Linked DNA regions of Danio rerio. The protein of the gene in region 1 interacts with the protein of each later gene in a biochemical or structural test. Links are inferred from orthologs where the notes say so. Each region holds a gene or a part of one and is shown in the gene's direction. Other genes may lie near its edges.

Region 1 (6,706 bases):
TTAGATACTCATTAAGGGGAGATTTTAGGATGCACTCTTGCATGGACACAAAATTAGAGATGGACACAATTTTAAGACACAACCAGAATGTTAAAGCAGTTCCCTCTGCTGGTTGATTTTAGATTCTAAACTTTTTGATTATATTAGCCATTTCAATATTTTGTCACTTGTTTTTTTTAGTGTATAATTATTGAGTGTAGTTTTAATGTAATGGGCTATATGCACACAAAGCTTAAATTTTCAGCCAGACAGCCCAAGGACTTCCGGTGAACTGTCTTTCCATTACAAAATTGTCACGTATCTGATTTCTTAAAAAATCTGCAATCTTCACTGCCTGTTAGATATACGATATGAAGAGAGTCTTAGATCAGAAAAGAAGCTCTGACCTAAATTCCATTTCTCCCCGCCATGTCTTTAAAATTTGACAGTTTATTTTACCCCAGTATTTTCAATGGAGTTTCTGTGCTAGCCTGTAGCTACTGACGGTGCTAACGGTTACACGGTCTTTCATCTTGTATTCTGCTTCAACAACTAAATGAGTGTTTAAGTCTATTTAACTGAATGTTTTGTAATTACATTACAACATTAATGCTGTATATAGTCACATTAAGCTTTCATTGGCTTTTAAACTCCTGCTGTGCATAAAGCCCATTTAAAGGTAGACTTGACTTACTTATCCTCCTCCTTCATGGTAACTTCATTTTTACACATATTATAATATAACTTCATTTAATGTAAATGTTTAAATCATAAAAAGTCTTTTAATAACACTCTGTGACACTTCAGGGTGGTTCCAGTTGTTATTTCAGTCAATGAGTGCCACATAAAGAGTTAAAAAGAGAGTTAAACATAATAAAAGTCCCACCATGTTTTTGGAAATTCAGAGAGTTATAGTCAAATATTATATAGTTAAAGCAAATTATGCAAATTAATTAAGAGTTTATTTGCTGCAAACTTATGACCACAGATCCAGACATTCTTTAGTGTTTGTTGGCTTGACACAAGTGTGTGGCAGGACTTAAAACGAAAAATATTTACGTTTTCTCGTGAGATCAGGCTGTCAGATCCGATCTGAAATCGGGCCTGATCATGCAGTTTCAGCCTCAATCGTAATTGAACGTATCTCCTGATCAGGACTCAAATATATATATATATATATATATATATATATATATATATATATATATATATATATATATATATATATATATATATATATATATATGTGAACAAAACAGCAACGCGTGCAGCCTTACATCAAGTTGTTGTGAAAACACTATTGTGTTGCCCGCAAAGTAGAACACAGAAGCAGCTTGAAGCAAAAAGTGCAATTATGTTTGCGGTCTGGAGGTATTATATAGTATAGTTGATGATGACAACATTGCCATGGCAAACTTTCAGATATGTAAACTAAGTATTGCTTGTTGGGTATTTTAAATTGAGAAGCAATTCGTTTTATTTGATTTTTTTATATATGTTTACTGTTGCTCTAAAGTCCACAAGTAAAGAATTTAAGTTATTACTTGGATGTTCAAGCTACCTCACAGAAGTGCTCTGTTTGTTAACAGAGTTGTTGAATGTTAAAATAAGGTGAATTAAATAAAAAATAAGGAACATCCTTGATCTGCTTCTTCACTTCTTTATTCTTTTTTAAAGTATTTATTATGTGTTTTTGGATAGGGTTTTGGTATCGGTAGATAGCCTACTATTAATCAAATGACTCGGACTTGAGGGCAAAAACCCTAATCGGGACATCCCTACAAAATATGATGGAAAATTATGTTGTATATAACTTATAAAAATTGTGGGCCGCAAGACTCCCTGGGGCCCTAAGCGACTGCTTACCTTGCTTACTGGTTATATCTGCATCTGTTGACATGGTCCTTATATCGTTTACCATTGTACTTTGAATATTTGGTTAAAAACAGCATGCATGACTTCAAAACAACAAGCACTTTTTAATTGGTCATGAACAATGTTGTATTTAGATATTCATTGGCTGCTAATATGAATTATTTATTTAGAATCTCTAACGAATACCTGTCTGAAAAGGAGAATGTGCAAATGTAAAATGAATTTTACCTCAAATTCGACCAGCCTGGTTTTACAGGGGTTTACAGGATCTGGTCTTAGTTGGTCAGGCTGGAAGACTAGCCAAAACCAGCTACGTCGTCCAGCTTAAAGCAGGCTGGTAAAGCTGGTTTTAGCTGTTCATTCCAGGCCAGAGATGGCTATAACCACCCTAAAACCAACTAACCAAGCTAGTTTAAACAAACAAAAACAAAAAAAAAATTCAGCAGGGAAATGTGGCCTTACGCAATGTAGCCTTAAGAAATTCTTTAATAATATTAAAGAAAAATAAGATTAGTGTTTGAAATACTACCTATAATTACAATCAAAATTTAAATCAGCTCGTTTATATTGTCTGCGTTTCATGCTGTTATAAAGTTTTTTTTAATACTTTTTATACTACTGAAACTTTTAATATATGGCTGTAAAACGTTTTTAATCTTTCAGGTAATGCGTCATGAAGCCATACCAAATACGGAGCGAAGGCTTGTTATTATTTAACCATTTATTGTATGTTCTTCTACCGGCTGTATTGTATGTTTTTTTTTATTGAATGCTTGAAAAACAATAACAACAAATGTCATGAATCAAACAGCAACAATCCAGGGGTCTTTAGTCATTTAGTCCAAGATGAGTGTCAAGTCCTTAATCAAAGTCCTCAAACAAGGTTGGCTGTATTGTATGTTCTTCTACTGATCTAATCCAAATGAAACAGCAGTGCTTTTATTTTGAAACACTGTCTTGTCGTTGCCGCCCATGGTTTCACACGCGCGGGCAGTAGGGCGCAAAATATTCCCGGGATTTTGTGGCCTTGTGAGCAAGAAAGCGCGTAAGTGTGTAAGATGTAAAATTTCTAATTGATCACATTACAAAACCATTCATTAAACTACGTATTGTACTAACAAAAGCAATCCTTCAGTTTAGCCTCACCGTCATCTCTACAGAAACAGCAGTTTGGTCACTGCTAGAAAGTTGCTAACTTGCTAGCCGTCCGATTAGAATTTGTGTTATAACTTGAAAAAAAATTAACTTAAGATGTAAACTGATGATATAAATTACCTTAATATATCAAAGGCACGTCGTTTGGTCAAAACTGCAGAGTTTAACGTTAATGACACGTTAATCATGTCTGAGAACTGTCAACTAGTCGATGTAAACATTAAAATCACATCAGATTTGACGTAATTATATTAATTATGCCAGTAATATGAATGTGTTCGTTGAAAAAAATGTAATTGCTAGTTTAACTAGTTTACTGTCTAGTTAACTAGTTCATAACTAACTACCTTACTGTTTAATACTTAGGTTTACATAATTTTTTTATGAAAACTGTTTAAATGTTTGAGTATTCATTAGGTTTATTACAATTTTCAATCTCTATATTCATTTCATAAAACATGTGTGGGTCAAAAATAAGACTTCCGCTTATTGCTGTTGGCATCAAGTTATATTTAAAAAGGACTTTTATGTGTAAAAGCATTTTAAATAATGGCAAAGTATTAACTGAGTTATTTCAAATAACTTTAAAGACAAAAAAATATATAAATTTGTATTAAAAATCGTCATTCAGCGTAATGGATATGTTTATGTAAAAATGTAAAACTTCTGATCTGTAATAGTGAAAATACAGAAAAAAAAAACTCATAGTATTTGAAAACATTAAAAACTTACTGACAAATGGGTTGATCCTGGTGATATGAAATATAATTTTTGGAATTTTGTTTGTTTGTTGATTACTTTTTACTTTGTTTTTTAAATTCTTGTCACGCTGAATGACATTTTAGTGGGTTTTGTATATAAATGTTAAAAATATTGTGTCCATACATATTAATTAAAAAATAATTAATTTAATTAGTCACAATCTGAAGTAGGGCTGCACAGTATTTAGAGTTATATATCTTTTTTTAAAATTTAATTACCTCAGGAAATTATCTATTACCTGCTTATTTTAGTATGACCAGACCATAACCTAAATAAATATATATTTTAATTGCTGATAAAATAAAATTTTGCAAGCTAGTTTAGGCCTGTCACAATAATCACTATATTGACTTACTGCACAATACATGGACATGACCTCAATCATATTTGTTGATGCGATATATATTGCCCATACATAAAAGTCAAGCAACATTTCTAGCTGATTGTGCGATTTCTCCATCTCTATTGGAGGTGTCAGTGTTGGTATGGTAAACACTATAGTATTTACTATAAATTACTTTTGTATACTTCCATGGGTGCCTGATGATCAGGGCCAGACGGAATCTGCGGACGTTTTTTGCTATCTCTGCGGAGAATTTTGGTAAAAATCTGTGAATTTCAGCGGAATTGTTTTGAGAGTATCGTAACTAAAACCTTAATTAGTTAAATAAAAAGTAATACCTTTTTAACTTTTATTTAATGTTTAAATTGCAAATCTAATTAGATTCACTTTATTTGGTAAACAAAGCAAGTCTCTCATATATAATATATCTACTAGATATAATATATCTACTAAAAGACAGAAAATATTACTTTACAGACTGTATTGTACATAAATCAAATGAACATTTTCATATTAGTCAATAATATTACTGTAATTAGTTTAAAAAAAAAATTAGATTTACACACATTTACTTAAGTAAATAAACAGACTTAATGATGGGCTAAAAATCTACAGAAATCTGTGGAATTCCGCGAAAAATCTGCGGAATTCTGCGCGCGCAGATTCCGTGTGGGCCTACTGATGACTGAAAATAGATGCTTCTTTTTTCTAGATCTTTCTACCTTGCAATTTTTTTTCTTAACATCTATTATTATTATTTATTTGTTTAGAATATTCAGTTTCACATTCTGATTCAATGCCTAATTACTAAATTGTTAAAATGACTATATTTAAATGAAATATCCTTGAGAATAAAATGAGTGTACGTGCATTGTGATGATATTACAGTGTCAAAATGGTCTAAACGTCACAATACTATTGTTTATCATATAAATGTTGGTGCTATATATCGTACCATACACACACACACAAAAATATTGTGACAGACATAAGCTAGTTATAATATGAAAAATATCTCAATACGATATCACATATTATAGTATCGTGCAGCTCTAATCTGAAGTGTGAAAAAGAAACTAAATTTAAATATATATTAAACTCATTTTTGAGCTAAATTACATATTTTTACCATGTGAAACCTGCTGTACCTTGACAGTCTGTGAAGTATTGTAATTCATTTCTAAATACAGAGTTTATCAAGCTCATCCAATTTCATGGCTCGCAAAACTGCTAGCCACATGTCCAGAGGCTATTATGTTTTTCAGTCGGGCTACCAAAAATAAATCTACCCTGCTCAAATGTTAATGTGCGGACAAGTGCAGCCTATTTTAATTCTTTTGCATTTTTACAAATTGGTTAATTATGTTGTATGTAGTTTTCATTTTATCGAGGAACCGATATCAATATATTTCAACTGGTGTCAAAAAAGTGGTGCTAAGTTTATAAAAAATAAAACAAAGTTTTAAAAAGCCTCACATCATTTTTTTTCAGTGTCAATAAAAACATGAACATTTTATAAATTAGGGTTGGTTTGATAGGCAATGTCATCGTCCATTGCCGATGGCCGATAGACATCACAATGCTGAGCTGGCATTGCGATCATCCGCCCCTGTCGCAGCAACAACCCGCTTGCGAAAAATAAACACTAATTCACACGGGGCGTCAACGCTTACCATACACTTTAAATGGGTGATGTCAGGCGTTGCCGATTTGCATTGTGGATCCGTTGGTGCCACTGACAGAAGCACCAACCAATCAGATCGCTGTATGCAAATACCCCAGCTCAGACAGACTAATTGCTGACTAATTTCATTGGCTGACGCTGCTTTGACGATCGTGTCACCCCCAACTTTAGACACACCCTGTGTCAAGCGTTGACGCTGAAGCCCCGTGTGAATCGGGCGTTAGGCCCCTTTTACTTGAATACGTCTTCGTTTTAAAATGGCATTTTAAAATGAAAACGATCTGTCTTTTGAATAAAACACGTTTTACTGGACTGTCTTTTTACTGATTCCAGAACAGGACTTTTTATTTTAATGAACTCTAAAACTAAAAGGACATTTTTAACAAAGTGAAACCAGAAAAGATTTCAGAATTTTTATCATGTATTAACATAAAAATGTTCTAATGTTCTAATTTGCTTGTTGATTATTAAATTGTATATTTATTGTTGAAAGATTCCTGCCATGAAAATAGCCTTGGTTGCTGACATGGCATTAAATAAAAAATACATTACATTACATTTCTTTCTTTTGAATCTATCAGGTAATGTGTCACAGCATCAGTAGCTTCAATCTTACACTTTCATGCTTGTACTTAGTAATTTTAGCGAAAACTCAGATACTGTTATTTGTGCACCCGGGCAAAGACCATGCAAGTCAGGTAGTTGAAACGGTAGGCTACAAGTAATTAATGCGTTTTTAATTAATTAATCATAAATAATTTATTCACCGCCACCTACGACGATGATTATGCCATTGTCTATCGGGATGTTTCACATTAGACATCGTACAATGCCAAATTAGTTGACATTACCCAACCCTAGCATAAATAAATTGAAATATTGAAATTAAATATATTCATATTTAAAAA
Region 2 (5,049 bases), on another chromosome or scaffold:
GCGTTAATGGAAACGCCAATAAATGCGGAAAATAAAAGGATTTATATGGATGCATTGCTTATCTAATTTATTTGATACAACGGACAAAATGTTGCTTTTCTGGATGATTTCAGGCGAACAAACTGGAAAACCCCAAAAATGGACGGGATCGTCATGCGGTTATTGAGCACAAGGGGGCGACAGAGACCAATGACTATTCAAGCCTCCAAACTGTCGCTGTGTCGTTTTTCTTATTTATTTTACTTCATCATTTGCACTTTGGATCTTATTCTGATTGTTTACAATGCTGGGGAGCTCTCTTTCTGTCGTTTTTAATCATGTTTGTGTATCGTTTACTGTTGCTCTGCACTGGTTTATTTCTCCTGCGCTCATTAGGAGTATCCGGAGAGTGTGATATGCTAGGACATGCTGTGAGCTTTGTTCTCGTTTTGCTGTTGCTATATATAGCATTTAGATCAAGGGATGGGATTCCCTGTTTTCAAATAGTGGTACGTTTGACTTTCATCGTGGCTTCAGTAATATTTTATAACGATGTTTCTATTCGTTTAAGAAACGGAAACGTTCATAAGTTACTGTAGACATATCGCACTAAATGACGTCTGTCTGTGTGTTTTGGTTGTAAAACACGAGCCCTTCGTTTGACAAAAGGGACACACTACAGGTCAAAAAAACGCATTTGTGCATATTTATAAATTATTCCAGGAATTATTGTAAATCTACAACCTCGTGAGATGCATCAGGCTGGATCTGCAGTGGGAAAGTGCTATTTTCAGGGTCCACGTGAAACCTCAGGGGCTAATATAAAAGGTATAATAAGTTTCATCGCTTTATTTTTTTCAGAGATGGCTTTTTAAACCGAACAGGCGCTGCCCCAGTAACACACAACCGCGTTTATTTAAAGTGAGCTGCAATAAAGGTCTTTTGCACGTCAAATACATAAAGTAGATTTTATTAGTGGTAGCTTTTTATTGTAATACTAAGCAGGAGGCTTTGTTGTTTTCTGGTAATGTAAGGTCAAATATAGGAGTAGTTCATACTCAAACCTCCTACTCAACGTGGTCACCATTCATTTTCATTTGATGGATATAAAGATGCTGTGGTAACTGAAGCTGGTTATCTGCATTAAACTCTTCATGTTGCACGAAACAGGATTGAAACCCCCAATCAAATATCATTTTGATGAACTGTCCCTTTAAAGAATCTCTCGCAGTATCTTCCCTTTTTAAGATGTCTAATAGACGTCTAAACAGTCCTCATGGCTAAATAAAGGGCTGTCAGTGAAACTCCAGTAGACGTCTAAAATAGGCCAAAACTAGACTAGTCATCAAATAAACAGAAATTAATGACTACATATATAAAGTCTGTCTATCTGACGACTAGTGTAGTTTTGACTAATCCAAGCTGTTTATGTTTAGATGTCTATTAGACGCCTATTAAACTAAAAAATAGTCTGCTGGGGTTCCCCACCCATACGACTCAATGCAATTCTCAGACTTTTGTTTTTCATTCCAAATAACCTGAACTTATAATAAAGGCAAGGGTGTTCTAACCAAAATAATAGCTACAGGAAAGCATTTTAGCAATTATACAGTGAATTGCAGGTCACGAGTCAATGGCTCAGCGCTTTATAGTCATTTTGGAGCATAAAGCCTGAAAAATGTATGAGCAAAATGTTGTGATGACAGCGAACAATCTGAAGTGAAGGTGCTGCTGCTGGGCCTTCTGAGGTATTCGGAGCTTTATATTGTTGTTCATTTGATGTTTAATTTATTCTGAATAAATTATTTTTGAAAAACCATTCCTCCTTTCTTATTTCCCATTATTAATCAGCTAAAAGTGAATTTATCTAAAATGCACACTGAATCACTTTAGTGTCACATCACGACAAAGTGATTTAATTCATTGTGCATTTTAAAGAAATCGCATACAAATCACATTTTAAAGACATTTACATTGAGTGAATTAAATCTATAAAATATTACGTCACAATAAGTGTACATGAGAGGGTTAAACAAATGAAAAAATTGGTTTTGCGTCAAACTGTGTTAAAATTCAGAGGGAATATGTTCAATTGGTTTGAACTTACCGCCGAAATGTGATTGAGGTAAAGAAAGACCAATACTAGCGCAGACGAACCAAGCGAATCAATCAGCTCTCGCATATTCAGATACACTCTGATTGGTTCGTTACTTTGCGCTGTTTATGCACTGCAAGTTCAAGCCAATGGGGGATTACATCCGCTCTGGTTTCACCACCGACAACCAATCAGGTCTGTACTTCCCTTCGCGCAACCAATCAAATGTGTGGGCGGGACTATGCTTTGAACGTTCAACCAGTCTTTAAATACTGCAGCAGTTTCACTGCCAATGTACTGATTTCTTGCACACGCGAAGAGTTAAGTAAGCCATTCAACATGTCTGGAAGAGGTAAAACCGGAGGAAAAGCCCGCGCTAAGGCTAAGACTCGCAGCTCCCGCGCCGGTCTTCAGTTCCCCGTCGGCCGTGTTCACCGTCTCCTTCGTAAAGGCAACTATGCTGAGCGAGTGGGCGCCGGTGCCCCCGTGTATCTGGCCGCCGTGCTCGAGTACCTGACTGCTGAGATCCTCGAGTTGGCGGGAAACGCCGCAAGAGACAACAAGAAGACTCGTATCATCCCTCGCCATCTCCAGTTGGCCGTCCGTAACGACGAGGAGCTGAACAAACTGCTCGGCGGAGTGACCATCGCACAGGGCGGTGTTCTGCCCAACATCCAGGCCGTGCTCCTGCCCAAGAAGACTGGCCAGGCTGCAGCCAGCTCCGGCAAATCTGGAAAGAAGGGATCTTCCCAGTCACAAGAGTATTAAATGTTGAACTGAGCTAATTCATCCAAAGGCCCTTTTAAGGGCCACCCAACTCTTCTGAAAAGAGCAATTTCCATGTGTCTGAATGTGATATAGCTTGTATTTTTGAGATGCATGCTTTGCTTATTAAATTGTCATTTTTTAATAATGTTAATGTTGGTGTTTTTTGAACCGATTTAGGCTAACTGTTATCACAATTTAAGAATTTACGTTACTTCAGTGTTTATTTCTTAACGGTACATTTTTTTTTTCTCATAATTAATTTATACGAGTTAATTTGGAAAACGGAAACTAGGTTTTCATAAACACAAGGTAAGGCAAAGTAATTCTCTGGTCTTTTTCATAATGTAAAAAGTCTTTATGTATGAGTGAACGATAGTGTGAGTCTTGTTTTCCAGTGTCAGCAAAAAACCAAAGAACTCATCAGGGGGTTGTTGATATACTTTATTATTTATAACACATTTTTTAATTCATTCTCATGTTGATTTGACAACACAATGTTGCTGGCCAAGTAATTGCTATAGTATAGCTGGTCAATTTCACATTTGGAAGGCACTTTACAACTTGCTACATAAATATAAAATATTAACACGAACTTAGACAGCTAATTTTGCCAGTAAAAATCTTACATGGTGCTAAAACACCCATAAAATCTTAGCACCTCAGTACTTTGATTATTACATGAATATTCTTCCAGTGATAAAAGGAAATGTGGGATACTTTGACACATTTTTTTTTACTCCGTTTACGTAAAAGCTAAAGATGAAAAAAAGCTCTGATGTAAAAAGTAGACATCTGTTCACTTCCTTGTAATAATGAGGTTCAGAGACACTGTAAAGCATAGGTCTCAATTCCTGGATGGTTGCAGCTCGCAGTTTTGCTTCAACCCTGATCAAATGCACCTTATGAAGATGTTCATAACTCTCGAACACCTTGATTATTTGGGTCAGCTGTGTTTGATAGGGTTGGAGAAAAACTGCAGAGCTGCAACCCTCCAGGAATTGAGTTTGAGACCTATGCTGTAAAGGCAGAATTGGCGGTTTTTTAAATTTATTTATTTTTTACAAAACTCAGTGCTTGAGACCAGAGAATAGCAGTCATCTAAAAGTAGTGTCTCTGTTAAAGCAAGGCACTGAGGTATAGATAAAACAACATGTTCCTCTAATCATGGTAGTTATTCAGCTATCGTTGATTTGACTGTTTATCCAAGTTAACAGCATGTCAAAGTTTCCAAAATATCTAGGTCTAATGATATTCCAGTGCACAACATGAAATGAACAGAAACATCAGGGTTATCGAGCATCATTTAGTTTTCTGGCTGTTGTAAGAATGTCTTTGGCCCCTTTATTAAGGAGAACATTTGCCAGATCCAGCCCCAGTTTCTCAGCAGCTTCGAGGGCTGATGATGAGATATTGCACGCAGTGACTCCAACATTTGCAGAGCGCTGTGTACTCTCGTTCACCTAAAATATTAAAAAGAGATTACAATGAGGTCAATATTACATTATGCAATTTATCACATATACATTGATGCCTAAACGTTTAGTGTTTGGTAGGAACCTAGGAGGTTTTAATGTTTCCGAAAGCTGCTGCTTATGCTCACGGAAACTGCATATATTCTAAAATAATCAATTTAAAAATGTTGTTTATGACTGAAATAATGCTGAATTGTCAGCATTAATACTTCAGTCTTTAGTGTCACATGATCCGTAAGTAATTGTAATGTTTTCAAATGGTGCTTGTTAAATATTTATTATCTTCAATGTGTAGATGAGCTCATCAAAATTATATATATATATATATATATATATTTTTTTTTTTTATTTATTTTTTTTTTTGCCACAGAAAAATTATTAATAATTTGAAAATGTTGCACCACACACACACACACAGATACACATAAATAAATAATAATAATAATAAATGAATAAATATTAGAAACTAAACTATTGTTTTTGGGTATATATATTTTCTAAAATAAAGATTTATTTGAATTAATTTTATTTAACAGGGACAATGCTCATTAATGAACAGTAAAACTGTAAATAAGCCAGAGTTAGCAACAAGGGCTAGTTTTCATCTGTTGTCCCCTGCTAGATTTTAAAAGGCAACCTAAAATAAAAAAACACATCATCACACACACAAAAACAGTAAAGTTACATATGGCAAAGGGATAAAACATGTAATAAAATTTCTTAAAACGTTAGATA

Evidence for each region.
Region 2: of the proteins of rnf168 (region 1) and h2ax, one has a biochemical effect on the other in vitro, tested with the Homo sapiens proteins (2 studies listed by BioGRID). The link is inferred for Danio rerio from reciprocal best matches to the Homo sapiens genes RNF168 and H2AX.

Annotation. Positions count from the first base shown.
Region 1 is NC_133190.1:4,312,041-4,318,746, reverse strand, and holds the start of rnf168 (E3 ubiquitin-protein ligase rnf168), read left to right. Parts: upstream 1-2,819; 5' UTR 2,820-2,899; intron 2,900-6,706. UniProt on the Homo sapiens protein: E3 ubiquitin-protein ligase required for accumulation of repair proteins to sites of DNA damage. Acts with UBE2N/UBC13 to amplify the RNF8-dependent histone ubiquitination.
Region 2 is NC_133180.1:31,149,987-31,155,035, reverse strand, and holds h2ax (histone H2AX), read left to right. Parts: upstream 1-2,370; 5' UTR 2,371-2,413; coding exon 2,414-2,842; 3' UTR 2,843-2,987; downstream 2,988-5,049. Other genes in the region: hmbsa (hydroxymethylbilane synthase a), read right to left, coding at 4,132-4,302. UniProt on the Homo sapiens protein: Variant histone H2A which replaces conventional H2A in a subset of nucleosomes. Nucleosomes wrap and compact DNA into chromatin, limiting DNA accessibility to the cellular machineries which require DNA as a template.